6 linked regions of the Sus scrofa genome follow. The protein of the gene in region 3 purifies or fractionates together with the protein of the main gene of each other region. This does not show direct contact. Links are inferred from orthologs where the notes say so. Each region holds a gene or a part of one and is shown on either strand. Other genes may lie near its edges.

Evidence for each region.
Region 1: the proteins of CLGN (region 3) and SLC12A6 purify together in Homo sapiens (affinity purification with mass spectrometry; 3 studies listed by BioGRID and IntAct, with this or other methods). This does not show direct contact. The link is inferred for Sus scrofa from reciprocal best matches to the Homo sapiens genes CLGN and SLC12A6.
Region 2: the proteins of CLGN (region 3) and PTPRU purify together in Homo sapiens (affinity purification with mass spectrometry; 3 studies listed by BioGRID and IntAct, with this or other methods). This does not show direct contact. The link is inferred for Sus scrofa from reciprocal best matches to the Homo sapiens genes CLGN and PTPRU.
Region 4: the proteins of CLGN (region 3) and SLC12A2 purify together in Homo sapiens (co-immunoprecipitation; 3 studies listed by BioGRID and IntAct, with this or other methods). This does not show direct contact. The link is inferred for Sus scrofa from reciprocal best matches to the Homo sapiens genes CLGN and SLC12A2.
Region 5: the proteins of CLGN (region 3) and TCTN2 purify together in Homo sapiens (affinity purification with mass spectrometry; 3 studies listed by BioGRID and IntAct, with this or other methods). This does not show direct contact. The link is inferred for Sus scrofa from reciprocal best matches to the Homo sapiens genes CLGN and TCTN2.
Region 6: the proteins of CLGN (region 3) and SLC30A1 purify together in Homo sapiens (co-immunoprecipitation; 3 studies listed by BioGRID and IntAct, with this or other methods). This does not show direct contact. The link is inferred for Sus scrofa from reciprocal best matches to the Homo sapiens genes CLGN and SLC30A1.

What each region holds. Positions count from the first base shown.
Region 1 is NC_010449.5:80,240,873-80,245,922, reverse strand, and holds part of SLC12A6 (solute carrier family 12 member 6), read right to left. Parts: intron 3,767-5,050; coding exon 3,712-3,766; intron 3,243-3,711; coding exon 3,112-3,242; intron 1,956-3,111; coding exon 1,714-1,955; intron 1-1,713.
Region 2 is NC_010448.4:86,213,236-86,218,285, reverse strand, and holds part of PTPRU (receptor-type tyrosine-protein phosphatase U), read right to left. Parts: coding exon 4,923-5,050; intron 1,683-4,922; coding exon 1,547-1,682; intron 1,028-1,546; coding exon 878-1,027; exon of another isoform or gene 1-877.
Region 3 is NC_010450.4:86,665,615-86,670,664, reverse strand, and holds part of CLGN (calmegin), read right to left. Parts: intron 4,153-5,050; coding exon 4,039-4,152; intron 3,915-4,038; coding exon 3,764-3,914; intron 2,023-3,763; coding exon 1,807-2,022; intron 683-1,806; coding exon 557-682; intron 363-556; coding exon 203-362; intron 1-202. UniProt on the Homo sapiens protein: Functions during spermatogenesis as a chaperone for a range of client proteins that are important for sperm adhesion onto the egg zona pellucida and for subsequent penetration of the zona pellucida.
Region 4 is NC_010444.4:131,099,355-131,104,404, reverse strand, and holds part of SLC12A2 (solute carrier family 12 member 2), read right to left. Parts: intron 4,562-5,050; coding exon 4,439-4,561; intron 2,982-4,438; coding exon 2,870-2,981; intron 1,816-2,869; coding exon 1,729-1,815; intron 195-1,728; coding exon 59-194; intron 1-58. UniProt on the Homo sapiens protein: Cation-chloride cotransporter which mediates the electroneutral transport of chloride, potassium and/or sodium ions across the membrane. Plays a vital role in the regulation of ionic balance and cell volume.
Region 5 is NC_010456.5:29,315,142-29,320,191, forward strand, and holds part of TCTN2 (tectonic-2), read right to left. Parts: intron 3,646-5,050; coding exon 3,580-3,645; intron 1,869-3,579; coding exon 1,734-1,868; intron 1,467-1,733; coding exon 1,389-1,466; intron 1-1,388.
Region 6 is NC_010451.4:131,631,264-131,636,937, reverse strand, and holds SLC30A1 (zinc transporter 1), read right to left. Parts: upstream 3,353-5,674; 5' UTR 3,340-3,352; coding exon 2,724-3,339; intron 1,059-2,723; coding exon 154-1,058; 3' UTR 4-153; downstream 1-3. UniProt on the Homo sapiens protein: Zinc ion:proton antiporter that could function at the plasma membrane mediating zinc efflux from cells against its electrochemical gradient protecting them from intracellular zinc accumulation and toxicity.

The sequences.
Region 1 (5,050 bases), on a different chromosome or scaffold from region 3:
AACCACCTTGAAAATGTTATGCTAAAGGTCAAATCTCTGGCTCCTGATTTAAAGGAGACAGCTTGGCCAGAATTAGGTAATCTCTCTATGGCCTAACAGAAAACTGTTTTTGAACTTAAGCCTAGACCCAGTGGGAGTGAGGGTATTTAAGGATAATATAAATACAAACTGCTGGTTTTATTTTTCCTTTAACCCAGAGATCTAAATATGAATAAAGGAATAATACATGTACAGTTAAAATACCTCTCCAGAAGAAAAAAGCAACTTCAGTATTTGTAAAATGAGAGCACACATACACAATAAACCATGTACCCATAACTCGGCTTCAACAACTCTCAACATTTCCCAGTTGTTTTATCACTCCTCTAGGGTTTTTTTTTTTTTTTTGCTTTTTTGGGCCACATTCACGGCATATGGAGATTCCCAGGCTAAAGCTACAGCTGCTGGCCTACACCATGGCAACGCAGGATCCGAGCTGAGTCTGTGACCTAAATACCACAGCTCATGGCAATGCCGGATCCTTAACCTACTGAGCAAGGTCAGGGATAGAACCTGAAACCTCATGGTTCCTAGTCGGATTTGTTTCTGCTGCACCACGATGGGAAATTCTCCTCTAGGTTTTTAAAATTGCTTTGCTGAAATATTTTAAAGAAAACACCACACATCACAAACTTTTGCCCACCAAAAAAGAAGAGAAGCATCAAAGGAGAACTTGAGACAGAAGGGAATTTTCCCAGTTAAGATATAGCCAGAATGTAGCCTTTTATGACTCAAGTGGATCTTCAATTACTTGGCAGCCCCTAGATGAGCAAACTAAAAAGTTCTGGTGGAGTCTGTTATTGACATCATTTAGCATAGTACAAGAAACACTGGACTGGGAATCAGGAAATCACGAGGTTTGTGTTCTTGCTCTGCCATTAATTAACTTTGGGGCAAGTCATTTTATCTCTAAGGACCTGTTTTTCATCTTGAAAAATCTACTTTTACGTAATCAGGTTAAATCAAGGTTGGGAGTGATGAGTCTAATCCTTGGATGACCCCCGGACAATTTGTCAAAGACAATCAGTGTAAGATTACAAACAACTCTCAGGGCCAGCTAGCACCTATGCCACTAATCAAATGGAAAACGGTGAGAGTGTGAGTCATATTTCTGTACTAATCTGTTTCTACTTCAAAAAAATAAAATATACCTTAAGGTACCTTCTCTACTTACAGTAATAGTATAATCTATATTTAGAGAGAGAGAGATGCAAATGACATGACATTCAATTCCCTTTACGACTAAACGTCCATTACTGTACTAACAGCAGAATTAAAAATTTAATTATAAATACTTAGGTAGGTAAGTTTCCTTGACTCTCTTGACTTTTCATTAACAAAAGGAATCTAATATTCAAATACTTTATAAAGGTTACTGGTAATGACTATGCGGTTTGAAAAGCCTTTCATGAATAGTTTAAATATAGATAATTATTGCCAGCAGGTTTTGAAAAAACTACTATCTACATCCAAATGATGACCACAGTTGCCAGTTTTATGCTTGGGACACAAGGAAGAGGTTGGACATGACACAGTTTGCTGGGAGTCTTCTTTCATAAATACTAACTGGGCTTATCCAAGAGGGAAATCTCTGAGAAACTGTGAAAATGACTTGAAATGACCACATCACTGTTGATGACTACCCAATAATGATGGCTAGTCAGAGACACGTACGGGAAGTGTGGCGGGGCAAAGGAAGACTTGATGGCTCCAGCATAGATGGCCAGGATGGACACAATGACACAGGCCAGAAAGAGCGAGGCAAACTTGTTGACGTAGCGCACACCGATGAATACCACCAACACCATGAGGACCAAGAAGGCTGTGCCATAGACCCGCATGTTATTTAGCATGGCTGCTGACTCCTTGAGTGCATCGTCACTATGAAAGATGGCAGCTCGGGGGACAATATATACCTGTTTAGCAAAAGAAGTAGAAAATAAGGTCATTTCAAAGTAATCAACTAAAAAGGTAGCTGTAGTTTGCAGTTTCTTTCATAAGGGAAAGCAAAACTGAGACAGAAATAGACTGGAGACTTAGCCTAATTTCTATTTGGATCTAAAATGCCTACAGAAATGGGATGTCATTGATTTTTTTTTCTTAAGTCTATGTGCTGTTCTAAATACATCTCCGAATGGAAAAAACAAGGATTGTGTTAATAATTTATTCAAAGTGTTATATAAAATAGGGAGGAAGGGATGGATTGGGGATTTGGAATTGGCATATATAACTGTGATAAATGTAATGACTGGCCAAAGGGGACCTGCTGTATAGCACAGGGAACTCTATCCAGTATTCTGTGATAATCCATATGGGAAAAGAATCTGAAAAGAAAACGATGTGTGTATATGTATAACTGAATCACTCTGTTGAATAGCAGAAATTATCACAACATTGTAAATCAACTATACTTCAATAAAACTTTTTATAAAAAGTGTTATACAAAATAATTGTAATGATTACCTTAAGTCCTATTTCTGCTATCATTACTCTAAACCTCTCAGTGAATAACTAAAGAATATTTTATTTCATTGGGATAGACATCAAAAAAGATAAACTTTATTTTACTTTTCCTCCATTAGCCAAGTCTTGCCTCTGAGACTTCATCTTTGGGGTCAAGGTGGTAGGGTGATGCAGAATGAGTAGGCAAGCAAGGGATACCTCCATCTTTCAGACTCATGTTTATAGTTGGTGATCAATAACAGGTTAACAGTCAGTCATCTGATTAATTCCATCTCTTTTTTCTTTTTGGTCTTTTTAGGGCTGCACTAACGGCATAAGGAAGTTCTCTGGCTAGGGGTTGAATCAGAGCTGCAGCTGTCGGCCTACCACACAGCCATGGCAACATGGGATCCGAGCCACATCTACGACCTACACTACAGCTCATGGTAATGCCAGATCTTTAATCCACTGAGTGAGGCCAGGGAACAAACTCATATTTTCATGGATACTAGTCAAGTCCGTTATTGCTGAGTCACCATAGGAACTCCAGAAGTTTTGATACCAAAGAAAAAAATACATTCAAATCTATATATTTTCTACACTGTAAACCACAATTAAATCATTACTCACCAGAAAAATTTCAATGGCACCAAGGATGTACATGGCTGCTGCAAACGTGGTACCAAGATAAAAGCAGAGGCCAACAGCCCCACCAAACTCTGGGCCCAGTGCTCGGGATATCATAAAGTATGAGCCCCCAGCTAAAAGACACAACAGAAGAACAGGATAAAAAAAGTATGTTAGTATTAGGAAAGTCAGCAAGTCATAAAGAAGGAAGATAACTGATTCAGACTTTTGAAAACCCTAAATGTGATAAAAAGCAGATTTCCTAGTAGGAAGTAAAAGATGAAACCTTTAAACGACACATCTAATATGCTCCATATAAAGCAGCACAATTTGTCAGTATTACTTAAAAAATAGCAGAGGATTATTACACGCATGAGACAGCAGAATAAAACATATATTCTAATGAAAAGAAGCTAAGAATGCAACAGAAATAAGGGATTTTTAATCTTAAAACATAAAGAGATTTCTTTAAAGAAGGTATTCTAAAGTCAAGTAGTGTTAGTGCCTATGGCCAACATACTAATTAGTATTCTGTTCCTTGGAAGTTTACGCCTCATTACAGCATAAATATACAATCTCTGAAATCCAGTCTTAGCTACTGACCTGGCACCACTCCATTAGTGGCAATGGCACTCATGGAGATAGCAGTCAACATTGTCTGTAAAGAAAGGGAAAGGAGAAGACCGTTACTGTATAAAGATGGTATTTCTATACTACTTTCCCATTTGCAGACCTCAGAGCACTGATCGAACATCTAATTCTATCTACTTTTACGGAAGCGGTTGCCTGTCATACCGAATTTCATGGAAATGAGATGATGTGCTTTGACGCACTGATGTGCTTCAATCATACTACTAGTATCGGGAGAATTCTGCTAAAATACTCCTATATTGTAATCAGTAGGTTAGGTGCTATTAAGAACCACTCATCTAGTCCCGGTCTCCTAAATTGAAAACTCAGAAAACAGATTAGAAACTGACTAAAGACTGGCTACAATAACAAGAACAACATTCAGTAAGAAGGGAAACCACTAAAGACTGCCCAGCTCATAAGAACTGTATTTTAAAACATTACCTGGTAGTAGCAGAGTACAGAATGGACTGCAGATAGGGAGTAGATGGAGGCAGAGTGACTTGTTAGTAGGCTATTGTTGTAGTTCAGAGAGAGGGAAGGACTGCAGTGGCAGAAGTAGGAGTATAAAGAAAGGGTTGAACGAAAGAGATTTCAGAGGGAGATTTGATTTGATTGGTCTTGATAGCTCATGAGATGTGAGAGGCAATCAAGGAACCAAATAGGGCCCTGAAGTTTCAAGACTAAGAAACTGAAAAAAAAATGGTGGTATCATTAAGTTACTAACAACATGGACTATGTCTCCTTACCCTGCTTTGCACAATACTCAGCTGAGCACAATGCACAGGGAGTGTATGATGGTGATAGTAATAAAAGGTCAGTAGACAGCTGAATAATGAAATTAAAAAATTTATAATAATCAACTTACAATAAAATTGAGAGATGTGGCTGGGATACACAGATAAGAGAAGTTTAAATTAAAGGAAGTTCAGAATGTTCTCAGTGTAGTGAAGAGAAGATCTGGAAACAATACCCAAATTTCTGGGGAAAGGACAATGGATGAGACTTCAAAACAAAACAAATACCTCTCATTTCCAAACAACAATCAGTTTTGTTAATCTTCACTATACTGGAGTAAGCATATCATGTTTTCTAACACATTTTCTGTCACAACATTGGTATTATCAAGCTCAAATAGTTTGTATCTGAATTTTTGGAAGTCAGAACCTGTATCTTCTCCTTCTTATAGAAGTCCTTCTTTGTAATTTCAAGTATATCATATTATAAACAGTAAATAACTGACACTAAGTAATTGAAGATCCTTTAGATTTTAATATCAAAATAATCTCTCCTGTTGAGATGGCAAGTCCTT
Region 2 (5,050 bases), on a different chromosome or scaffold from region 3:
ACCTCCTGTGTCATCACTCTGTGCCAGTTCTAGAGCACCAGGCACCCGGCATGTGCCTCTGAACCCTCATAGGAACCCCGGAGTGGAAAGAACATCTGGGTCTCTCCCCACCCAGTGGCCACATTCCAATTTCTCCTAAGAACCAGGCTTCTCCCATCCTAGTCATGTGACAGAGCGACCTGCCCCGCCCCCAGAACCACACATGGGCCAATCACTGGGCTCCATCTCTCTGGTCCCAGTGACTGGCTCAGAAATGGGCTCATGAGAGTCTGGCCTGGGACTTTTGGGGGGGCTATTGGGAGCAGGAAGTACCCCCTTTTAGAGTCTCTTGACAGCAAAGATGACGGGGGCCAGGGTGTGGATCTGAGAAAGAAGCCAAAAACAGAGGAGCATGAAACCAAAAATGGACGAGACCAAATCTTGGCATCATCATTTGAGACCCTGGTTCCAGCCATAAATGAAGCTGGACCATCCACAGACTTTTTAGTTACAAGAGCCACTGAGCTGGATCTTTGTCACTTGCAAGCAAAAGAATCATAAGGAAGACAAACACTGCAAGGGCAATATTAGCTATCTTCTTCTTTGTTGGGTAAGAAAACTGAGGCTTAGCGAGGTTATTCACAGCTCTTAACTAGGCAAAGGCAGGCTTTGAACTCAGGTTTATCTGACCTCAAAGCCTGGGCTCTTAATCTCTAAGATGTACCACCTCCTCCACTGTCTCAAAATCCCTCCTGGTAGCCCAACTCTGTCCATCCTGCTTGGCTCGCAGTGACTCCCACAGCACCGAGGACCTCCCAATACACCACACACAAACACACAGACACACACACATGCACAAATGCTCACTCACTCACCCACACACACACTCATGCCCCACCTGGAACTCCTCCCGCAGCTGGGAAGAATTACTCTGAGGGTCAATGCGGATCATCTCTTTGTAGGTAGCCTTGAATTCACTGACAGGGATGGTGGTCTCCCCACACAGGCAGGCCTCCAGGATTGCATCGTGGATGAAGATGTACTGCTCCTGGAACAGGAGGTGAGAATATGAGGAACCCAGAAGGGACCAAAAGCCAGGGATTTGGGGGTAGTGGCCGGGGAGGCAAGCTCAAGGTTGAGGCTGGGGAGTTCTGAGGTGGCGGCCAACCACGTGACCTCAGGTTGGGCCACCTATATGTGAACCGACCTTCATGGCTAAGTTTGCTCACTTACATCATATCCCATCCCTATAATCGCCCTATGAGAAGCTCTGAAGGTGAGGGGACAACCCAAGGTGACATATCTAGTGAGGAGACAAAGCCAGCATGCGTTATGTCTTGACTGCAGAACCTATGACCTTGGCCCAGTGCTCCTTGACCTCCTCACCCAACCGAACACAGTGGAGCTGAGTCTGGGAAGACCCTGAGAGGCCGGCAGGCCAAGTTCAAGGACACAAAAGAACAAGGGGAAATCCTAGGACACCCGTCCAACACACTGCCCCGCTTCGAGCTCCTGCACAAGGGACCCTAGTCCCGGAGAAGAAGTGGGGAGAGGGCTGCACCCTCACCTCAGTCTGGATCATGTTGACGCGCCGGGAGCAGAGGGTCTTCACACAGTTGTAAATGTCCACGACACCCTCACAGTCCGCCATGTCCAGCATCACATCCAGGACAATGTAGCAACCTGTGCGGCCAGTGCCCGCGCTGGGGAGAGAGCAGCCCGGCCAGGTCAGGGCCTTAAGGAAGGAGCTTGGGACCAAGCAGAGGGAGAGAGGAGCGCGCCTAGGGCAGGCACCTGGCCAAATCTACACCACACAGGGGACGGGGGACACAAGAGGAGCCAGGGAGAAGGCAGCTGGAAATGTAACAGAGGACTGAGCCAGGGCTGGGCCTTGGGAAGGAGAAGAAAGAAAGGCGAGGGAGAAGGCAGATGTGAGAGCAACCCCAACTTGGCCGCTTTGACTCGGGGAGAAGAACAAAGGTGGTGCTTGGAGAACATCAATCCAAGAATGTTCTGGCTTCCCTGGAGGTCCCCAAATCTTCAAAGCCCTACACACTCATACCCACTCACATACTCGATGGAGCCTCCAGGAGATATTCTTTTGAGCTCCCAGGCTTTTCCCAAAACCCCCTTCCTGCTCTGTCGTCATTGTTTATGTGGCCACCTCCCTAAGGGACTGGGAGCTCCTCAAGAGCCCGGCTGGGCTGGACCCACCTCTGGGATCCTCTCATTCAGTACCAGGCTGAGCAGAGTTGAAAAGATGGGAAGAAGACAAAGAGGACACTGAAATCTCAGCTTGACCATGGGGTAGCAAGGCGGCGGTCATGACACGTAGCCACTGGGTCCCCACACACCACTGCTGGGCGCTTGAATTAATGCAACCACCTTGGAAAACCATTTGCAGTATCTGGTAAAGCTGAATATTCACACAGAGCAATTCCACTCCTACGTACACACCTCCCAGGAATGCGTGTGTGTGTCGGCCAAAAGATGTAATAGAACCTCCTTAGAAGCACTCTTCATACTAGCTCAACGTTGGAAACTGCCCAAATGCCCACCCACAGCAGAATGGGTAAACACACTGTGCTTTATTCACCCAGTGGAATATGATACAATATGGATGAACCTTACAAACATAAGGTTAAAGGAAAGTCAGACTCCAAAAAGCTCTATGATTCCATTTATACAAAGTTCAAAGCATGCAAAATGAATCTACGGTTTAAAAGTCAGGATCGTGATCGCTCTGGAGGTGGGGGGCAGCACAAACCAGAAGGGGGCTCCAGGGGCTTCTGGGTTCTGTTAATGTTCTGTTTCTTTTTTCTTTTTTGGTCTTTTTGCCTTTTCTAGGGCCGCACCCATGGCATATGGAGGTTCCCAGGCTAGGGGTCCAATCAGAGCTATAGCCGCAGCCTATGCCAGAGCCACAGCAACGCCAGATCCGAGCCGTATCTGTGACCTACACCACAGCTCACGGCAATGCCGGATCCTTAACCCACTGAGCAAGGCCAGGGATCGAACCCGCAACCTCATGGTTCCCAGTCAGATTCATTAACCACTGAGCCGCAACGGGAACTCCAACGTTCTGTTTCTTGATCTGAGCAGTGCTGGTTACTTCACAGTGAGTTTGTGAAAATTCTTAATTACATAATGCACTCATTATTTGTGCACTTTGCTTTAAGTATATTTTACATTAATGAAATTGTATCTTAAAAAGATTATCTCAGGAGTTCCCACTGTGGCACAGTGGGTTAAGGATCCAGAGTTGGCTCTGCAGTGGCTCTGGTTCAATCCCTGGGCCAGGAACTTTCTTATGTCATGGGCACAGCAAAAAAATTAAAAATAAATAAATAGAAATACTATCTTAGAGTCCTAAAGAAATCAAAGGGAAGCTGGTTTGGGGGTGGCAGGGCAGGGAAAGGAATGGGCCTACTGTGTGGCCATTTGGGAGCTGATAAGAATCCAAGTAGAGAAGCCGGGACAAGATACAGAGGCTAAGGACTTGTGGGCCCAGGGGATCCCCCAAAACTACAGGGTCAGAGGTTAAGCTCTCCACAGGGTCAGAGGAGTAGGGGTTAGAGACAGTTAAGAGGCAAAAGCGGAGTTCCCGCTGTGGCACAATGGGATCAGTGCCATCTTGGGAGCACTGGGATGCACGTTCGATCCCTGGCCTGGCACAGTGGGTTAAGGATCTGGCATTGCCGCAGCTTGGGCTTAGGTGGCAACTGCAGCTCAGATCTGATCCCTGGTCCAGGACCTCCATATGCCACAGGGAGGCCAGAAAAAAAAAAAAAAACATTTTAAAAAGAGGCAAAGGAGTTCTGTCATGGCTTAGTGATTAACAAACCCTACTGGCATCCATGAGGAGGCGGGTTCAATACCTGGCCTTACTCAGTGAGTTAGGGATCCGGCATTGCCATGAGCTGTAGTGCAGGTGGCAGACATGGCTCGGATCCCGTGTTGCTGTGGCAGTGGTGTAGGCTGGCAGCAATACCTCCAATTGGACCCCTAGCCTGGGAACCTCTATATGCCACGGGTGCGGCCCTGAAAAGACAAAGGACAGGGAAAAAGAAAAAAAAAAAAAAAAGCAGCAAAAAACAAAACGACAACTTTTTCTACTAAAAAAATAAATAATAAATAAAAATTTTAAAAAGAGGCAAGAGGAAGATGAAGAGCAAGGATGAAGCAGAGCAGAGAGATAAAGCATAACTGGGTCCACAGCCAACCACGGCAGGAGCTGGGAAAGGAAGGAGCAGAGGTCAAAGTTGCAAAGGGCGTGGAGTTCCCGTCATGGCGCAGTGGAAACGAATCCGACTAGGAACCATGAGGTTGTGGGTTGGATCCCTGGCCTCCCTCAGTGGGTCAAGGATCCGGCATTGCCATGAGCTACGGTGTAGGTCACAGACTCAGCTCAGATCCCATGTTGCTATGGCTATGGTGTAGGCCAGCAGCCGTAGCTCTGATTGGACCCCTAGCCTGGGAACTTCCATATCCTGCGGGTGCAGTCCTAAAAAGCAAAAAGCAAAAAAAAAAAAAAAAGTTGCACAGGGCATGAAGGCCAAGGGGTGAGAAAAGCCCCCTGGGTTTGGAGGAGAGAAGGCAAAGACCTTCCCACCACCTGGGCCAAGCCTAGCACGCAGGTGTGCCATGCACACTTACTGAATGGAAGCAAATGGAACGCAGTCCTGCCTGGCACCTCACCACCCCCTCACCGCTTCCATGTCTCCAGCCCCTCCTTGGCCACTGGATGAAGGGTCTCCACAAGTCTTGGGAAGCGTATGAGGGTGACAACCCCAGATCCAAAGCTCAAATGGCAAAGGGTCCCTAGGGGTCATTCTCCCCTGTCCTCTGTCCCCAAGCAGGATGGACCCAAGTCCAGCCTCCTTTAGGGACTCTGAATAACCCCATCCCAGCCCCTCTCCTCCCTGGGGTCCCCAGCACCCCACCTGCAGTGGATGACAATGGGCCCAGCATCTGGAGGGGTGGAGGCCTTCACGCGCCGAATGAAGGCCAGCAGCCCTGTGGCATGGTAGGGGACGCCGTGCTCCGGCCACGCCGTGAAGTGGAACTGGCG
Region 3 (5,050 bases):
GGATCCAAGCTATGTCTGTGGCCTACACCACAGCTCACAGCAATGCTGATCCCACTGAGCAAGACCAGGGATTGGAACATGCATCCTCATGGACATTATGTCAGGTTTTTAACCTGCTGATCCACAACAGCAACACCATAATCTACTGTTTTTAATGATTTTCCTCCAGGGTCCCCACTATTAATCACCATCATCATCTTACCTTTTTCAGGAACTTCACCGTCACTTTGTTTTTTTTCCTCTTCCAAGTCTACTGGTTTCTCAAGGGCTGCTTTCTCTTCCTTCACTTCTTGCTCTAGTGCTCCCTTCGTTTGTGGTTTACATATGTCAGTTTTCTTGAACTCTGCATCTTTGAATTTTTTCTGTGGTGGTTTAATACAAGCTATTTTTACTAAAAGCAAGGTTTTTTGCAGTAACTGATATACACAGTGAACTATCAGTAAAAACTTTTAGGCAATGTAGTTTATTACTTTTAAGAACCACTTGCTCTATTCACAAAATTCCTAAATATCAAGTGATTTTTTGTCAAATGTTGAAGAAAATTCATTTTCTTTACCTTTACTTTTCTTGGCCAACAAAATGAAGTAATTAACACTATTGGGAGCCCTGCTGTCAGAAGGTAAATGAACCAAAGCCAGGGGCGCGCTTCAGTAGCTGCCATGAGCTGTTTGAATACACTGGGCTAGAGACATAAACAGAAATGCAGTCTATGAACCTTCACTCAGAAACACAGCATATAAAATAAAAAACTTAACTTCACCTAGGTGTTTTACATTAAGGAGTCACGAATTTGTAAGCTAAAAAATACTTTATTTTCCCATTTTATACTTCACAAAGTTTAAATAATCTTTAACTACTCACATGTGCTGCTCCTGACAAGTGGTAGTAAAAGATAGGCTGTATTATATAGGTGGACCTGGCTAGTGTAGCAGCAAGAGTTAAGATACTTTTCTTTATTGGTAAGTTTCAGGACAGAACTACTCTTTATAAAAGAGTATAAATACCCCTAATAAAAAGGTGTATTATCTGGTTCATTTAGAATTATACAACTCTCTGTACTTTAAAAGACTTCCTTGAAAAAAAAAAATCAACCTGAGAATTACTGTATTTTCTTCTTCTTGGTTATTAACACATTTCACACACAACTTTCAGGAAGGAAATTGTTTCTCTTACTAAAAGAAAATCTAAAATCATCATATGTTTTAGTTAGAAGAGTTTCAAAATGAGAATCCTTTTACCTTTACTTACTTACTCTTTTGATGGTTTTTGCTAATATCCAAAGAAACCAAATGTAAAGTATGAATTTTTCTTTAACTGGTTTTAAAGATAGATTCTCCAAGATGCACTGTGTTGAAATATTTACTATTTTTTAAGTAATGTTAAGATTTTTGGGAAAAAACAGGGCATAATAATATTAAATTTAAAAAGTTTCTGCACTCCACTAAGTGAAAAGTTGTTAAAATGAATAAAGAATATTTAGATTACTGTTCCCATTTAAACATTGAATTGACAAGATGACAAGGATATTGAGTAGTATCATTTCTATAAACATCAAAAGGCATTAAATCCCATTATGTTATCATAATTTAATAAGTGAAATAAAGACTTACATAAGTTCATTAAATAGTCTGTAATGAAGTTGTACCCTGATTTGGTAAAGCTAAATATTCTGTTCACATAAATTAATTTAAATATGTTTCCTCAGCATTTAATCATTGTTGCACATTTATTTATCTTTTAAAAGATCATTTGTATAACTTATAACCAGGACCAAGTCCTATTATTACTATATGGTAAATCATGTACCTCATTAGCATTTTCTACCATTATTTTCACTCCCCAACCATCTGCAGCCCAGCGATCTGCTACTGCCTTTTCTGAACAGATAATAAAATTATCAAAGTAGATATCAGAGGTCATGGACCAAAGCTCTAAGCCAAGGGCACTGAAAGAAGTCAGAAGAAATGGGTGATCATCTTCAAAATAGTCTGGATTAGGGATTTTTCGAGGACTCCAGACACCCTGGAAGAAAAAATAAAGACATTTTCAAATAAAATAATTTCATTGTAAATGTTACTCAAGAAGTAGCTGCTGTTGAATTAAATTAGCAATACTAACTGAAAAAAAGAAAACTTTAACTGATATTTAATTCATTAATAATTCACTGGAAATAAAATCTTATTTCTTTTTACCCTGTACACAATGTTCCCTATGAATAATACTGACTTTAATCTCTGAAAAAGAAAAAAAAAGTGAAAATCCAACACACACAGAAAATTGAGTAAATTTCACAAGTGATACAATTTTAGACAAGTTGTTTGTTGCTTGTCTTTTTACATTTAGTAAAAATATTCAAGTCAAGATAGCATTAAAAACTTCAAATCAGAGAGATCACCTTATGGCAAAAACAGGAGCCATGGTTTTTTAACATATAGCCATGATAGGCATCAATAATCAATCATAATTGAATCTCAGAACAATTATTCAACACGGAAGTTTCACTAGATCTTCAACAATTCAACTCAACCCAATCTATTCTGCTCCAAGCACTATGCCAGATGCTAGGATATAGTGATAAGCAAGGCAGACATGTTCCCTGCATTATGGTGCTTAAAGTCTAATGAGGGACATGTTTAAAAAGTTACCAAAATAAGCCTTTTTGTGATAAATACCACAAAGAAAAACCACAGTGAGCAATTCAAGTATATTACTATATACGTAAGATAAATGTCAGAAAATGTCAATGAAGGAGTTCCCGCTGTGGCTCAGTGGGTTATAAACCCAACTAGTTTCCATGAAGATGAGGGTTTGATCCCTGGCCTCATTCAGGATTCAGTGCTCCCGTGAACTGTGGTATAGGTCACAGATGCAGCTGGGATCTGGCATTGCTGTGGCTGCAGTGTAGGCTGGCAGCTGTAGCTCCAAACGTACCCCTAGTGTGGGAACCTCCATATGCCGCAGGTGCAGCCCTAAAAAGCAAAAGAAAAAAGGAAAAAAAAAAAAGAAAATGTCAATGAATAATTAGACAGATAAAACTAAAACTACAGGGTTAAAGGGATAACACAGGACTTGAGTATACCTCAAACTAGGGTACACTCAAAAAATATCTGATTCTTATTAGAAAAAAAAATCCAGTTATAGTAATGCCAGAGTAAGGAGCATGTTAATCCAGCACTGACTCAAATCACTAAAATGTACATGAGTTCTCCTTTTTTGGCAGCGCCCACAGCATATGGAAGTTCCCAGGCAAGGACTGAAATTCAAGTCACAGCTGCAACCGACACTACAGCTGCGACAACACCACATCCTTAACCACTGAGCCCAGGAAGGGAGCTCCCAAACAGAACGAAAACATGCCTCTGCTGTGAACCTAACCTGAGCCACTGCAGTAGGATTTGTAACCCACTTCTGTACAGCAGGAACTCCTGTGAGTCCTCTTGATCAGAACTCATTTCTTAAATATAACTCTGAAATAAAATTTTATTCCAAAGTGATCATCAGTTGATTACTAAGATAAAAACAGTATAAAGTGACTGATCTTTAGTTGTTAATTTTATCCCCCCCCCAGAAAATTAAATAAAGAATGCTTTACTTTTTAAATGTAAATTAGTTGGTGTCTATTTTCTTTGACTTCTTAAGATAGTTAAGGCACACTATTACAAATCAAAGTTCTGAGAGTTCACATAACATTAGCAGTAACTAGATCTATAACAGAAGTAGCACATTTTAAACTTTACTATGGGTTGGAACAAGTGGTTGTTACCTGGTAGTTAGGGTTATCTATCATTGGAGGCCTCCATACCCCTTTGTACTTTGGGTTATCTATCATGGGAGCTCGCCACTCACCACACCCAACCCGACATGCTGGATTAGAAATATGAGGTGCCTCCCATTCTCCATCCATGTCTTCATTCCTTAGGATATTAGAACAAAGCAAATTTAGGAAACTCAAGTCTTTCCTGTCAGTCATATAAACTAGTAACAAAAAAGCTGGCAAGAAACATATAAAATTGACATTTGAAGATGAAGAAGGCATACCAGTCACTAGGTTTTTCAGCATTAGGATCTGGAATAAATTTTGGTTCATCATCAAGCCAGCCATCAGGTTTAACAACACTTGAATCTTCTATTTGAGCAGGTTCGCTTTCATCCCTGTAAATACAGTATTTTTTGATACTTTATTTAAACAGTTTAAAAATGGACGTCACAAAATTCAGAAGGTACCGAAAAGCATTTCCTACCCTTCTGTCTCTGTACCTTCTACCTCCTCCATCTCTCATCCACCAAAACCTTCTATATACTTTTTTGTAAATTACCTGTTATGCTCTATGCATAAACAAATGGGTATATACATAAATATTCTTTACACAAATAATAGCATTCTATACAGGGTATGTTAAGACTTTGCTGCTATTCGCTTAAAAACTCATTTGTTAACAAACATATACAGGATATCTACTACATGTCAAGACTGTTCTAGGAGTGCTATTTTATATAAATTTGTACCTGCTTGATTCTCAATGGTTCCATAGTCTCCTACTCTGTGAATATACCACAATTTATTTAATCTGTTCTGGAGGACACAATTTTCCAAAAACTATTATTATAATGTTATACTTAATAGCCTTAAACACATTAGAAGTTAATATGAAATTGTCAGCTATGTGAATTAAAATTTTTCCCAGTTTCTCGTGTTATTTTTTTTTGGCCGCCATGGCATGTGGAAGCTCCTCGGCCAGGGATCGAACCCATGCCATGGCAGTGACTCAAGGTGCCGTGGTAACAATGCCAGATCCTTAACCTATTGTGCCAAAAGAGAATCCCTCAGGCATTTTTTTACATAGTTTATGGTGAGGTTTTTTTGCGCCATATAAAAATCATTTATTTTCATGTAGTTGAAATTTATTAGCATTTTCCTTCTTTGATTATGGACTTTTATGTCATATTTGAAAGATCTTCCCTACTCCAATATTACTTTTTAGAAACTCCACATCTCTATATTTAATTCTAGAAATTTTTATATTTTCATTTAAAAATAACAAAGTAAATT
Region 4 (5,050 bases), on a different chromosome or scaffold from region 3:
ATACTTTTTGAAAATCACATGCAAGATAAATGAAAAGGAAGCAGGAGAGAAAGAATACCTTGGTCTTATAAAGTTCAAGCTCATTATCTGTTATTCGCCATGGTTCATCTTCTTTCATTTTATCTGCAATATCTTGTTCTTTATCATCTTCATGAAGTCTATACGGCTCAATCATTTCATCAAAAGCTACAATACTTAAAAAAAATAGAGAATAAAGATAATTAACTTTATTTTGAATTACTTAACAGTAAGATCTTAAACATTAAAGTTAACTTGAAAAGTTAGTGTAATTATAACTTCAGAAGTTAGTGTTTTCCAGTACTATGGTCCCTTCCATACCCTAACTGTAACCATCACTCTGGCAGTTTATTTTGAAAATAACAATCACTAGTTTCTCTTAACTGAATAGAAACTAGAACCATATTCATAATAAAGGAATTGCCATACCAACTGCTAATGCAGATCTCCCTGTAACTGCTCCTGCTCCCAGCCCATGCTCCTCAACCTAAATAAATTTCATCACATAGCTAAAATAGCCTTTTAAGTAGGAGGTAAAATTGTTACTCCTTTACTTGAAACACTCAGTAACTTTCCCAGTTTAAGTACCAATGAATAGAAGTACTGTTAAGAAAAGGTACTAAGAACATTTCGTATGGAGGAAAGTACAGATCTTAAACATTTGAGAAGATGCAAAATTAAGCTCTAGATCCAAAGGTACCCAAGTAGGACAAAAGATAGAAAAAGCTTTATTAATAGCATTCTAATCCCCTATAAACATGGAAAACGTATTTTTCAGTATCAAGTCTCATAGAAAGCTCCTGGTGTATATATATTGTTCTATTAAAAACAAATGTCTCCGGAGTTCCCATGGTGATGCAGTGGTTAACGAATCCGACTAGGAACCATGAGGTTGTGGGTTCGATCCCTGCCCTTGCTCAGTGGGCTAAGGATCCGGTGTTGCCGTGAGCTGTGGTGTAGGTCGCAGATGCGGCTAGGATCCCACATTGCTGTGGCTCTGGCGTAGGCCGGTGGCTACAGCTCCCATTAGACCCCTAGCCTGGGAACCTCCATATGCCGTGGGAGCGGCCCAAGAAATGGCAAAAAAGACAAAAAAATAAAAAAATAAAAATAAAAATAAAAACAAATGTCTCCCTAATTACAACCTCAAAGGTATAGCTGTTTTCTACTTAAAATGAATTCTTTATGCCAGCTTCATCATATAGCTAACATATATCTGGAAGTAATTAAAATTATGTATAATAATATAAATATGTACAGTTGTAACAACTTCCATATACCATTTTAAGGTAGAATAGTCCACAAGTCTACTTTTTTTTGACTCTCTGAGATTTCTGAATGTGATTACTATAGGCAAATTCTTAGATTTTTCCCCCCCTATTTTGGTAATAAAATAGTGAAAAGTAATATATATGCGGAATAGGGATTAAGTGGTCATAATGAACAATGGGGTGAACAATGGAAATTTAAAAACCATGTGGAATTTCTGTGGCACTAACGAGTTTCAGAAATTACTTGCAAAGTAGTAATAGAATTCATCTCTAAATATTGAAAACTCTTTGGGCTTACTTCAGTACCTGCAATAGGAATACCATCTGCTATATATTAAAAACAGGTTGACTTCACATGTAACAGTAATTAAGTGATCTGTTAGAGTCTCTGAGTAGGTCAATTAGAAATTTGTATAAAGTAATTTATCCAATAACTTACTTTTCTTTCTTTGGTTTAGTATTAATATCTCCTAAGACCATGATATCAGAGAAGTCTATCCGGAACTTGCTAAGCAAAGTAGCCATCCTAGAACAAAAGTGAACAGTATTGTGATACGTGAAGGCTATATATAGTAGTATTTTTATTCTACTTAGGGCTGAATCCACACATCTGAAAAGCATGATTTATAGGAAAAGTCCATCAGGTGCTAAACAAAGTCGTCCTGAATTACTTCAAGTGATACATTCATAAAGCAGACACCTACATTCTCTGAGTAGAAACTTGTTTTGAATTCTGTTGATTTCTCTGAATCTCTCCATAGTATCGAAAAAAAAAAAAATGAATGGAAGGAACGAGACATTAATAATGAAATCTGAATGGCAGCTAGTTTTTTAAAAGTTAAATTTTATTCAAATTATATTGGTAAGTATAGGGAATTAAGTCTGAAATCCTCTATATGTTTAGGGCAGGTGCAGAAATGTAAACTGAGGTATAATAAGGCTTACTTGGGGAAACAGGAAATAAAGACAGAAAGGAAACAGGTGGACAGATCTTAAGGGAAGGGCCTGACTGTCACACAGACTTTCCATGGTATGTAACAGAGAAGAAGTTAAAAGTATTCGGGGCAGAGGCATGACATGGTGAAAGCTCCAGTTTCCAGATGTGAAACTGGGAGCAGTGTGCACAGTATATTATTAAATGGTCAGAGACAAGACACAGAGGACTTCAAGAAGTAGTGAAACCAGCACTAGCAGTGTGATAGGAGAGATAGAAATAAGACAATGGACAATGCTATTCTGTATTTCTGTTGTCTAGAAGTCTACAAAATATACCATATGAATGCCACTTTTGTGCACTTTCTATTTTTAAAAAATGTGCTTAATACTTCAAAGCCACAAGTATTTAAAGTTCTTCTAAAATGTCACTATATTAAAAATATTACATATAAGTAAAATGAAGTATCTATAACAAACATGAAAACAAGAGAGAATGAGGTTTTATTCATTTGACTAGAATTTTCAGCTTCACATAGAACAGAGCAAATGACATTTTCTGGATTGTCTAATTTTATACTATCAAATCTATATTGAAATAACGAAGTGCTACTAGGTAAATGTTCACCAATTTAAAACAGACTTACGCTCTCCGATCATGGTCTATTCTGTTTATTTTTCCACCAATGAATACTCTGATCTTACAATCCTTCCACTTTTTCTTGGTAGTCAGAAGATATGGTATCAATAAGGTCAAACCTGAATCATAAAAACATAACAGATCATTACCTAAACACTAATTTCTCTATCAAGAACTTTTAATTCAAGTTAGTTGCTATTTTCTCCAACTCAACATGAAATAAAATCTTTCTGTCTTTCCTAAATAATTCAGACAAAAAGCCACTTGGCTTTGCCTGGAAAAGCAAGGATGCCCAGTGGAGCCAGAGCCATGCGAGAAAGGCAGAGAAGTGGACTAATGGCCTGGCAAGGTCAGGAGACTACAGTTACACATCAGGACTGAAGAAATGAGAATATTCATTGAAGCTAATGTGAGCCGTTTCTCACTGAAATGAGAAACATAAAAAAAAGCTGGCATGAACTCTGCAGTGTTGGACTGGAAGTGGTTTCATCTATACCTGTATATATGCAAGAAAACATACATATGTGTATTTCCTTGATCTGTCCACTGACAGAGCCTGGGAACAGTGACACCCTAGCAGCAACAGACATACCTAAAGCCCTGACCTTTGTTTGTAAATACCACTCTCTACTAAAAGGAATCAGGCTCTTTGGATAAAGGGTGACTCAAGGGCCGGTGTAGGTAAAGTACAAAACTGAGCCTGGAACATCTTGCAGAAAATAAATGACATGACAAATGGACACAGGAGTCAGCCTAGAAAGGATACTGCTGGCCAAATCTGGGTCATCATCAAAACAAATAATAAGCATGAAAAATCTTACCCAATAAATAAAATAGGAATCTGTAAGTACACATAGATAGAAATAAAGAGGAAACTCTTCTTTATAATAAAATACCAGGCAATAAATGAGGAAGAAATGACAGGATTGGAAAAATCATCATTTGGCAACCACAGACACATCACAATAACAATAACAGGGAGAATAAATTCAGGTAGAAATATCAATGGATGCTAAACATGGCGGCAGCAGTCACAGTAACAATGGTATATTTATATAGTCTCAAAGTAACTCCCCATCCCACAAATACCTGTAAGTATAAAAAGGGTTAACAATAACTTTTCAGTATATGAAAACCACCTTCCTCAACGGTCAAAGCTACCTTCATCAGTTATGAACAAATCAACATGGTATGTCACCTGGTGAGAAAAGGGCAGAAGAGCACAGCATCACTTCCGTGATATTTCTACCCAAAATACGTAACTTGAAACTGATTATGATGAATCATCAAACAGCACTCCAAATTGAGTGACATTCTACAAAATGGTCCATAATATTTTTTTTTAAATGTTGAAGTCATGAAGCTCAAGAAAAGACTGAGCAACTTTCAAACTGAAGGACAATGAAGACATATGACAACTAAGTGTGAAGCCTGATTCTGGAAGTAATCCTGTTGCTTTTGGGAATATTGGCCTAATGGGAACTGGGTCTATGGGTGAAGAGTACATGCCATTGCCTAGTACTAGCCCCACAACTTCAGAAAATTTAAACTTGTCAAAAAATGTTAGCAACCTTACCTCCATCATCAAAAAGCCACCAGACATCAATTGTATTCTTTCCCTGTTTTTTCTGAAACTGTGTACTAGCTTCAAGAAGCTTTTGGTCAGCTACATTTAGAGGAGCAGCAGGGCCTTTGGATTCTAAAGAATTAAGCAGAAAAATAAAGATATAAGGGAGGTAAATATTAAAGTATCTTTAGCTAAATTCCTATAGTTCCCTAACTTTTGTATATTCAAATGTTTATAACATACATAGTTGTATACATGGCATCCATCATAAAGTTTCAGTTGTCTACAATTTAAACATACTTTCAGAATAGTTATGATAAATCTATCTCTTTAATACCTAAATTCATCCAAATTACCTTGCCTAGTTTCTAATATTTTGTCTTTTTTTTGGGGGGGGGTATTTTCTAGGGCCGAATCTGTGGCAAATGGAGGTTCCCAGGCTAGGGGTCCAGTCAGAGCTGTGGCCGCCGCTCCAGAGCCACAGCAATGCCAGATCCGAGCCATGTCTGTGTCTGAGACCTACACCACAGCTCACAGCAACGCCAGATCCTTAACCCACTGAGCGAGGCCAGGGATCGAACCTGCAACCTCATGGTTCCTAGTCGGATTCGTTAACCACTG
Region 5 (5,050 bases), on a different chromosome or scaffold from region 3:
TCATTCCAAAGAAGAGAGTCAATTCCTCAAGGACAGGGCCCAGGTGGTGCAGTCCTCTGAAAACCCTGTCAACCCTCAGAAAGTGTTAGAGAGACAATGGCTCTATACTCACAAGTTGTTTCGCTGCCTGATCAGTTCTGGCTCTTAAGCAGTTTACTCTTTTTTGACAAGCATGTCAACATTTTTCCCTTATTCTGACAGTGTTTCTCAGAAATCTTGTGAAATTAAGTCAGTGAAATAAAAACTCTTAGATTCCAGGAGCCTACTTTCAAAGCCACCAATAAACTCCAAACTCCACATTAGCAAGTATATTAAAATCTGATTTAACAGAAAACAAGTATGTATATGTATATATAGATGTGTGTGTGTATATACATACATATAAAATGGATCATGTATAACTAAATCAGTATATATAAATATTGAAGAGCATGAAAAATAAGGCTATTTAAAAGTAAAAAAAGTTGTTCCTTCATGATTAATTACTGCCTGATGAAGGATAGTAAAAGGGGGGAGAATTTTTTTTTTAGAAAAAATGATAGGTTTATTGAACAAATATTTACTGAACACCTACTCTGGTCTAAGCCAGTGTTGTCCAATGGAAATATAATGCAAACTTCATGTTTGATTTTAGAATAACTATAGCAGTGTCTCTGCTGTGGCAGTAGCTTAATCCCTGGCCTAGGAACTTCCACATGTCTTGGGCATGTGGCCAAAAGAAAATAATGTATTCAAAAAGTGCACAGTCCCTGCTGAAGTCTCTCCCTGGATTGCAGTTTAGGAACCCACCAACTGCAGCTTATTTAAAAAAAAATTAATTTCACCAACACTTCAAATGCCTTACCTCTTTTTCAAAAGACCAGTAGCTAAAAAGTTTTGTTGCCTGCATTTACAATATACAGTTTATGTAAGAAAATTAAGTAGTTATCAGAAAAAAACTCAGTGTCACAAAGTGACACTGTGTCTTTATTTTTAAAGACAAAGGTCTGAGTCACAAACTAAAATTGGAGAGAATGGAGTTCCCGTCGTGGTGCAGTGGAAACGAATCCAACTAGGAACCATGCGGTAGAGGGTTCGATCCCTGGCCTCGCTCAGTGAGTTAAGGATCCGGCATTGCTGTGAGCTGTGGTGCAGGTCATAGACACAGCTTGGATCTGGCGTTGCTGGGGCTGTGGCGTAGGCCGGCAGCTGTAGGTCCGATTCAAACCCTACCCTGGGAACCTCCATATGCCACGAGTGCAGCCCTAAAAAGCAAAAATAAACAAATAAATAAAAATAAAAAATTGAAAAAAAAAATTGGAGAGAGTTATTTATAATCACCCTTACAGTGTAGGAGTATTGAACCAAAATACGTTTGTGAGATCGGTGATTGACATCCACTACCTCACCTGGATTTCCAGATGATTCCATCTCAGTACCACTGTTAGAGCTTAAAAATTTTACTGAAAATCTCTGTGTCATGATCCCTAGAAAAAAATAAATAAATAAAAATACGATGTCACATTTCACTAGAAAAAGAAATGACCCCTCATAGTGTTATTCTCTTTACAACTACATTCCGATGTGCAAAAAAAAAAAAAAAAAAAAAAAAAAAAAAAAAGAATTCTATGATTCAATCATGAATACAAATAAGAAAAACAAGTCTGAATTAGTCTATCTGTTATAATTACCACAGTCATGAAGAAAGCAAAAAAATAAACTGAGAGCATTCTTGCTGCCCTCCACAAAGTTACCTTTCTGGTGGACATTAATTTCTGCCCTAATAATTTTGACATCTATTTCACTGATTGTATTATTATTCCATCTGAAAATATAATGTTCTTCCACATTCACGTTCCTGGCGGCTGGTCCACTACTCAAAAGTGTTTCTGCAAAGAAAGCAATATTTTCATAAATTAAAGGCCTTCTTTGGGCTTAAGCCTATTACTGGTGGTTTTCTCTGCCTGGGTGGCCTTCCCCCCACACCCAACCCCACCCTGCCTACCCAACTCCCCAACACAACAGGGTCAACTTTTCCTCTGAAGGCCTTCCCCAGGCCTCCACCCAAGTCAGCAGAGCCACCTCCTCTACACCATCTCAACATCCTGAGTGAAGTTTCTCCCTTTCATGCCTACATCCTGGGTGCCTGGTTCATAGCTCAATATGGAACACGCTTGGAAGAATGTTAAGTGAAAGATTACACAATGACAGCTCTTGGAGTTCCCACTGTGGAACTGGGTCAGTGGCTTCTCTGCAGTGCTGGGCCACAAGTTTGATCCCTGGCCTGACCCAGTGGGTTAAAGTATCTGGCACTGCAGTAGCTGTGGTGTAGGTTGGAGCTGCAGCTTGGATCTGATCCCTGGCCTGGAAACTCCATATGTCACAGGGTGGCCAAAAAGGAAAAAAGAAAAAAACAAAAAACAGAATGTCAGCTCTGTAAGAGCAGGGATGTGCCTCTAGTACACTACTATATTGTACCAATATCTGATGAAGTAAAGAATGAGTTCAAGAATTACAACATGTTGAAACACAAGTAGTATCCTTTATTAAAAACTAAAGACCCCAGGAGTTCTCATTGTGGCACAGCAGAAATGAATCCGACTAGTATCCACGAGGACATGGGTTCAATCCCTGGCCTCTCTCAGTGGGTTAAGAATCTGACATTGCCAAGAGCTGTGGTGTAGGTCTCAGATGCAGCTTAGATCCAGCATTGCTGTGGCTGTGGTGTAGGCTGGCAGCTGCAGTTCGGATTCAACCCCTAGCCTGGTAATTTCCACATACTGTGGGTGTGGCCCTTTAAAAAAAAAAAAAGTGTTGGTAATATTGGCCAAGTTCTAAGTACCTTATTTGGCTGCATCACAATCAAAATTTAATTATCAAAAAAAGGAAAAGCAAGCAAGAAGTGAAAATGCTAGATCTGGAGTTACCGTTGCAGCTCAGCAGAAATGAATCTAACATCCATGAGGATGCAGATCTGATCCCTGGGCTTGCTCAGTGGGTTAAGGATCCAGCGTTGCCATGAGCTGTGGTATAGTCACGGCTTGGATCCCATATTGCTGTGGCTGTGGTGTGGGCCCACAACTACAGCTCTGCTTCAACCCCTAGCCTAGGAAACTCCTTATGCTGTGGTCTGGCCCTAAAAAGACCAAAAAAAAAAAAAAAAAAAAAAGCTGGATCCTCAGTAATTCTTTACCTATCTGAAAAACATTTCAGAAAAGGTCCATAGGCCCTGAGAATGAGGAAGGACCCTGGAACACACATAATCCAGGACTGTGGAGGGTATGGTTCAAGGTCACAGAGGTGACTCCAAAGTATGCTTAATGGAATAAGCAATATGCAAAATATTGATGGGATAGCTTTCTAAAGTTGTGATCCTCCTATAATTCTTAATAAAAATGCATTTTCCTCTGGGACTATATATTATTTGTAAAAAAAAAAAAAAAAAGGACATATATTCCCACAGAAATAATATAAAATCAACTATATGCCAATAACATTTATTTAAAAAACAATTAATGGACTTAGATTGGGAAAACAGCCCAAAAAGCTTAATTTATTTCAATAAAAAAGAAATGATATAAAAGTATAACATTAAAGTACCTGTATTTGTGATGACTCTGTCTAGGTCAGTTGCGTCTTCATAGATTACTTTTGGTGTAACTATGCCTGAAAAGATACATAAATGAACTTTCATGAGACGACATAACTGAACAGGATCACATATATCTACGCAATGCAAGTTCACCAAGCAAATACGACAACTGTGCCTGCCCTGTATGCCAACTACACAGCTCTCTCCTACTCCCTGAACACCATCAAATGGGAGTCCCACTGTTCTTGGCATATAATTATAACTGAGGGGTTGAATCTCAAAGGTCATTGATGATGATGTGGAGAGTCAGGCTCACGGAAGAACTAATAGGCAGCACGTTGCTGGTGGGATTACAAAGTGGTGCAGTCATTTTAGAAAACAGCTTGGCAGTTCCTCAAAAAGTTAAATTACCATATGACTCAGAAATTCCCACTGCTGGGTATCCGCCCAAGAGAAATGAGAACTTGTGTCCAAACAGACACCTGGACGCGAGCATGCAGAGCAGACTTATTCACAATCGATGGAAGCTGGAAATAACCCAAATGCCCATCAACAAATGAATGGATAGCACAGTGTGGTGTTTTCATATTATCTGGCCCTAAAAAGGAACGAGGTCCTAATCCATGCTATAGTGTGGATGAATCTCAAAAACATAATGTTGAGTCAAAGAAGCCAGTCACAGAAGGCCACATGATTCCATTTATATGAAGAGTCTAGAATAGGTAAACCCATAGGGTAGTTTCCAGGGATCAGGGTGAAGGGAGAAAGGAAAGAATTGTTTAATGGGTGTGGGGGCCCCTTCCAGGGTGATGAGAATGCTTTGGAACTAGATAGAGGCAATGGTTGCACCACGTTGTGCAGCTACTAAATGCCACTGAACTGTACACATTAAAAGGGTTAGTTTTCATTTTCTTTTTTCTTCCTACCCATGGCATATAGAGTTCCCAGGCCAGGGATTAAATTTGAGTCAAAGCTTCAACCTATGCCTCAGCTGAAGCAACAGAGGATCTTTAACCCACTGTGCAGGGCCAGGGATGGAATCAGTGCCTCCACAGAGACAAGACGGATCATTAAGCTACTGCCCCATAGGGGAAACTCCTAATATGGTTAATTTTTTTTTTTTTTGTCTTTTTTTTTAGGACCGCACCCATAGCATATGGAGGTTCCCAAGCTGGGGGTCGAATAAGAGTTGTAGCCGCTAGCCTACACCACAGCCACAGCAATGCCAGATCCGAGCCACATTTGTGACCTACACCACAGCTCAAGGCAACGACCTACACCCACTGAGCAAGGCCAGGGATTGAACCTACATCCTCATGGATGCTAGTCAGATTTGTCTCTGCTGAGCCACAACTGGAACTCCTCATTAATTTTTTTAATTAAAAAGTAAAATTTTAAAACGTTTAATTTTATGTTATGTGAATTTTACCTCAATTTTTTTTTTTTTTTTACTGGAAGTTCCCAGTCAAGGGGTCAAAT
Region 6 (5,674 bases), on a different chromosome or scaffold from region 3:
AAGCAGCCCCATTATGTTCTTACAAAAATAGAATTAAACTGTGTGACCAGACAAGGACTTCAATTACACTACTTGGCAAACATAGAGTTTCAATGGAGTCTTTTTCCTCTTGCAGTTTAAAGCAAAAGTCAAATATCACATCTTTTTCGAGACTCATAAAGATGATTCAGGTTGTTTGTTTGGCATTTTTTTAATCTCTATCACAACAGCAGGGATGTTTTCAACTTTAGTCCTCCTGGGCTTCTTCTCTAGATTGTCACTAAGTTCTAAACAAGAAATGCTAACTGCCGGGGCCTTTTCTGCATCCTTTCCAGATTGGGCTTGTGGCCGTGTCCCACAACATTGCTTCAAAGCACACTGAGTTCTGCAGGCAAGTTCACAAGGGACTACACTTGACTTAGAGCCTACGCTAGCAAATTCAGGTTGAATGGTGGTAGCGTGAATTCCGTGATTATGGAAAACGTCCTTAATGGTCTTAGCCACCTGCATGTACGATGTCGGGTCTTCACATTTTATGTGAGCAGTGGCAATGATTCTGCTTCCAGCAAGTTGCCAAACATGTAATTCATGAACTTCCTCAACTCCTTCAACATCTCGAAGTTCCTTTATCAAATTTTTGATATCAATTTGTTTGGGAACAGTTTGGAGAAGAATAAGAGCAGACTCCTTAAGTAATGGATAAGTTGTGTAAAGAAGTATACAAACCATTACAATACAAAGAGTTGGATCTAAATATAGCACCCAGCAAGGACCAGCCTCATAAACTGTTGCATGAGTACTATTAATTAACTCTACAAATGCTTTGCAGGGGTCAGGAACACATGGATTCACACACATCTCCCCCTCAGGACAACCTTTCCAAGAAAAGTAAAAGACTAAGGCATTTACTACTACAATCACGGAACCCAAAGCATCTCCAAAGACATGCAGAAAAACTCCACGCATGTTAAGTTGTCCAGCCTTATCATCATCATCTTCCAATTCCACCTGGTCCGGTTCTCTGATAAGATTCCCATTCACTTGTACTTCCACTGCATCACTTCTGGACTTTTCTGGATCTACAAAGAAATAAAGATTCCGTATCAAACACACATCTAAAATGTTTATATAAACATTCTTGCCTAATTCCATTTAAGAAATGGAAGTGAACATTTTTCACAAAACATAATTTAAAAATGTGCTCAGGAATCTAATATAAATTGACATACTGGGAACAAGCCAGGACAGAATGGCCAGGCTAAATTAAGTCATTAAGATGATATTGCTTCCCCAACACTCCTAGCCACTCACTGTCCAACACTACCACTTCAAAAAAAAGGTTCATCTTTTCTGTATGTGTGTGTGTGTGTGTGTGTGTGCTTTTTGGCATATACCAAAAGGAAAACTAAATTGGACACTATCACCCCAAATTAAATGCAACTATGGATAAGTCTAATGCAAATGGCTAATTTGACACAGTTCTTTAGCCATCTTTTGTCATTAAGGTGTTAACTTTTACATTTTTGTCATTTATATAAATGAGTCTCTTAATGGAATGGGTTTAGAAACTAACACATCAACAATATAAACCTATCAACAATCACAGAGACTTAAAGAAAAGTTGGAACTATCATTATCATTACTACTTCCTAAATCAAACATAATGATCCTTTAAAAGAATTATACACACCAGAGCAGCTTAATTTTCTTTGGAATGACACCTTGCAGACTAGAGGGGGAGTGAGAGGATATGCAGTTGTTTACGAAACCTCTTCAAAGTACAACCTGAATTTCATTAACATAACATCCTGCATCTTGGATAAAGGAAAGCTGTCTATGTAGCATAAAACTAGGTGAATAAATATATATGGAAAAAATCTAGAAGGAAATACACAAGTTGTTAACATCCCTGGGCTTGGGTAGTCAGGTATTAGATAGATTCCTTTTTCTGTCGCCTTCAACGCCCATTTCCCAGATTTCCTTCAAAAGCACTTACTGTTTAGAATGAAAACTGTCCATTAAAAATATAAGCTGAATTACCATCGCTTATCTTCGTATGATTATGGAAATTCCTAAGTGAAATGTTAAACATGCCCAGACAGGTCCGAAGTCTAAGATTTTCAGGGTTTGGTTTAGATTTTAGAAAATTACCTGAAACATACACGGCTGTTCTTAAGAAGAACCTTGAACCAGGGTTTTGAACTCAGGCAAGTCAATCGCTAGATAGCTGGCTCGGGATACATCAAGAAACTTGTTGGAAGGGCCTCAGAACTACTTGGGCAGAGCAAGGTCCCAAACAGCCAACAACTAAGGACCAGCGGGGGATTCTCTCCGTGGGCCGACAGGGTCAAGAAATTGAATTAGGAAGCAGTTTGGATCCTGCTAACGCCCAAATCAGACACTCTCTTGAAACGGCAGCCTGAGAAGACAGCCAAGTGTGGGGTGCGGGCAGCAGGGGGCTGACGGTCACCCCTGACCTTTGTCTGCTCTCACAGCCGCGATGCCTCGTCTACACCCACCCCCCAACCCCCGAAGCGTCCCCGGGCTCATGACACCAGGCTGAAAGGGGGAAACCTGCGTTTCCGCGCCTTCTGGGCGGGCGCGGGACCGGGAAGGAGCGGCGAGGCGGCGGTGCGGCGCGGCGCGGCCCGCTGGGCACCAGGGGGCGTGCGGGCCACCCCGCCCGGGGCCACCCGGGGTCTGGGCTCCCCAGGGCCAACCACCTGCGGCGGCGACCACCTCACCTGTCCGGTCCAATTTCAGCCCGTTGGAGTTGCTGCTCTTGGCCACCAGGATGTTGGTCTCCTCCTGGTCGGTTCCCTGCTCCCCTGGGGCCGCGCTGCTGTCGCTACCGCCGGCGCGGCTGCTCTTGCCGCGGCCCCCCTTGGGGAGGCCGTGGCCGTGCCCCCCGTGCGAGTGGCCGTGGCCGGAGTCGTTGCCGAAGCCGCTGTGATGGTGGAAGAGGCAGAGCCCCAGCACGTTGACCACCAGCCCCGCCACGCCGACCCCGAGGACCACCAGCGGCTGCTGCATCTCGTGCGGCTCGATGAAGCGCTCGATGGCCTCCAGCAGGATGGCGAAGCAGAGGCCGGTCAGGAAGATGGCGTTCACCAGAGCCCCCATCACTTCGGCCCGGATCCAGCCGAACGTGTTCTTCTGGGTGGCGTGGGTCCGCCGGGCGAAGCGCTCGGCCACCAGCGCCACCACCAGCGCCAGCACGTCCGACAGCATGTGGAAGGAGTCCGAGAGCATCGCCAGCGACGAGGTCACCCGGCTCACCACCACCTCCAGGACCATGAACATGAAGGTCAGTAACAGCATGCAGAGCAGCCGGCCCCGGTTCCGACCCCAGCACCCCATGGCTGCGGCTTAGGGGCCCGCCGAGCGCGGCCCGGACACTCGTGAGGCGGCGGCGGCGGCGGCGAGGCGCCGAGGGCCGGCGGCCCGGCCACGGAGGAGGAAGGGCGCCGCCGGGCTCTCACCGCCGGAGCCCGGCCGCTCGGGAGCCTGCGGTGGGGCCTCCGCCGCCGGACAGGGGCGAGCCCGGGGTCAAGCCGCCGCGCCCCCGCGCCTGCGGGCGTCCCCGGCGGGCCGGTGGCGCGCAGCTCCTCAGGCGTCTGTCCTCGGAGCCGGCGCGGAGGCCCGGCTCAGCCCCAGCAGCCCCCACACCCACGGCGGGGCGGCGGAGGTGGGGAACTGGGGCTCCCGGAGCCCGCGGACCAAGAGCCGGAGCAGGAGCGGGCGGGCGACGGGCAGCTCTGCGCTGTGAAGACTCCAAGCATCTGCCGGCTCTCCGCGCAGGTCTCCCTCTCTCAGGTCTCCCTCCGGTGTGGCTCGGACCGAGGAGCCGACGCCTGAAGAGCTGAAGAGGCGGCAGCAACCGCAGCTGCACTCGGCCCGGTGTCGGGCGCCTTCTTCGCCCCCCCGCCTTTGCAGACGGTTTACAAAAAAACTTTGCTTTGCACTCGGAACCCCCGTTTTCACACGGACCCGAGCGTGACAAGGCCTCGCCGCCCCGCCCACCAGGCCCGGCATGCTTCCCCATTGGCCAGGACCTCCTCACGACAGCCGCCGCGCCCCGCCTATCCGCGCTCACTATTGGATGGAGCCCGGCGGGGCGGGAGGGGGCGGTGTCGTGGCTCTAACAGATAGGGGCGGGGCCTTTCCCTTCAGGAGCCGGGCGTGGGCCGGGGGCCGCGGCCGGGTGCAGCGCCTGGCGTCGTGGGGGAGGGTGGGGGGCGCGGGCCGCGTGCAGCAGGAGGGGGAGGGGCGGGGCGGGGCAGCCGGGGTCCTCCCGGCGTGGCGGGGCTCCTGCTCTGGCGCTGCGGGTTCTCGCAGCTCCCAGCACACCTACGGGGCCCGGCAGCAAACAGACTTTGATCCTCCGAGCCGGGTCCACGTGGGGCGGGCCGCGCGGCCGCTGTGACAGGCGGCAGCCTGGGAAGGGCCGAAAGGGGGAGCCCCTGTGTGCGGGGCCCTCGGGTGGGCCCTCCTGTCAAAAAGCCCCGAGATTAGGCCGACGGACTCGAAAGCAAGGGCAGCACGCAACTTGTGACTCCGCTCAACACCCAGCTGAGTTAGTCCGAGGAGGTCCTGCGAGGCGATGAAGGGAATCTTCGTAAATGTTTCAATAAAGCGAAGCACCCGCATCACCACCATCCCCAGGAGACCTTGCGTGAAGCCGTATATTTCTGTCACTGATTATCTAAGGGCCACTTAGGTACAGACTTAAAGCAGGAGAAACCGGGGTTCTGGCCCTTGCTTTGCCACCAGCCAGCTGTCTGGCTTTGAGCAAGTCAACTCATCTCTCTCGACCTGTTTCTTCATCAAGTAAAGGATTGGTCAAGAGAAATTCTTACGATTCCTCCCGGCTCTCAAATTCTAAGACTCTATGATTTAACACACATTTATTTTATTTAGAGACTACAAACAGCAGAACCCCGTGTTGGTTGCTATGGGGAAAGGGAGGGGCAGTAAGAATACAGAAGAATGAGCTTCTGTCCAGGTGGAGGTAAAATACAAACATATAAAAATTTAAATTATGATGACATATCCCTATTAAATGGTGTCAACACTAGTTGAGATTGGTTACATATGTGCTGTGCTCTGAGTGGAGATTAGCTGATTTGAAAGGGAAGACGTGCTGCTTCATTTATGGAGGGGTGGCTTGAGTCAGAGTGGCCTAAAGGGGACTCTCAATGGGCTCAGCACAGCCCCTGGACAGCAGGAAGGCCCTCCAACTGCCCTGGATTGCTGTGAGACAAAGGCAGTGGCAGGGTCTGTATATAAGGCTTATTTGCCCCCCCCCCCATTTACAAAATATTTCTCTTATTTCTATAAAAAGTTTTTCACGTGTGTATGATGTTTCTCATCTCCCTTCCCCCCCCCCCCAACCAGAGAACCAGATCCTTATCTCTTTCTGTGCTGCTGAATAGAAAAGAACTGGAGGGCGATTTCTGAGAGGTTATAAAGGAAGAATTGATAGGATTTGATGATTAATTGGGTCTTGGGAGAGTGAAAGCTGATGAGGGGAATTTAACAAAGATAGTTTTTAACCTGACAAGGAAGATACTGCTTTAAAAGATGAGGAAGTTGAGAGGAGGGGGCAGGGAGCTGCTTTTAAGGGGGGGGAAACCGTCTGTTTTTAATGTGCTAAATTTACTGTATTGGTGTTCGGTCGTTTTGGGTTTTGTTT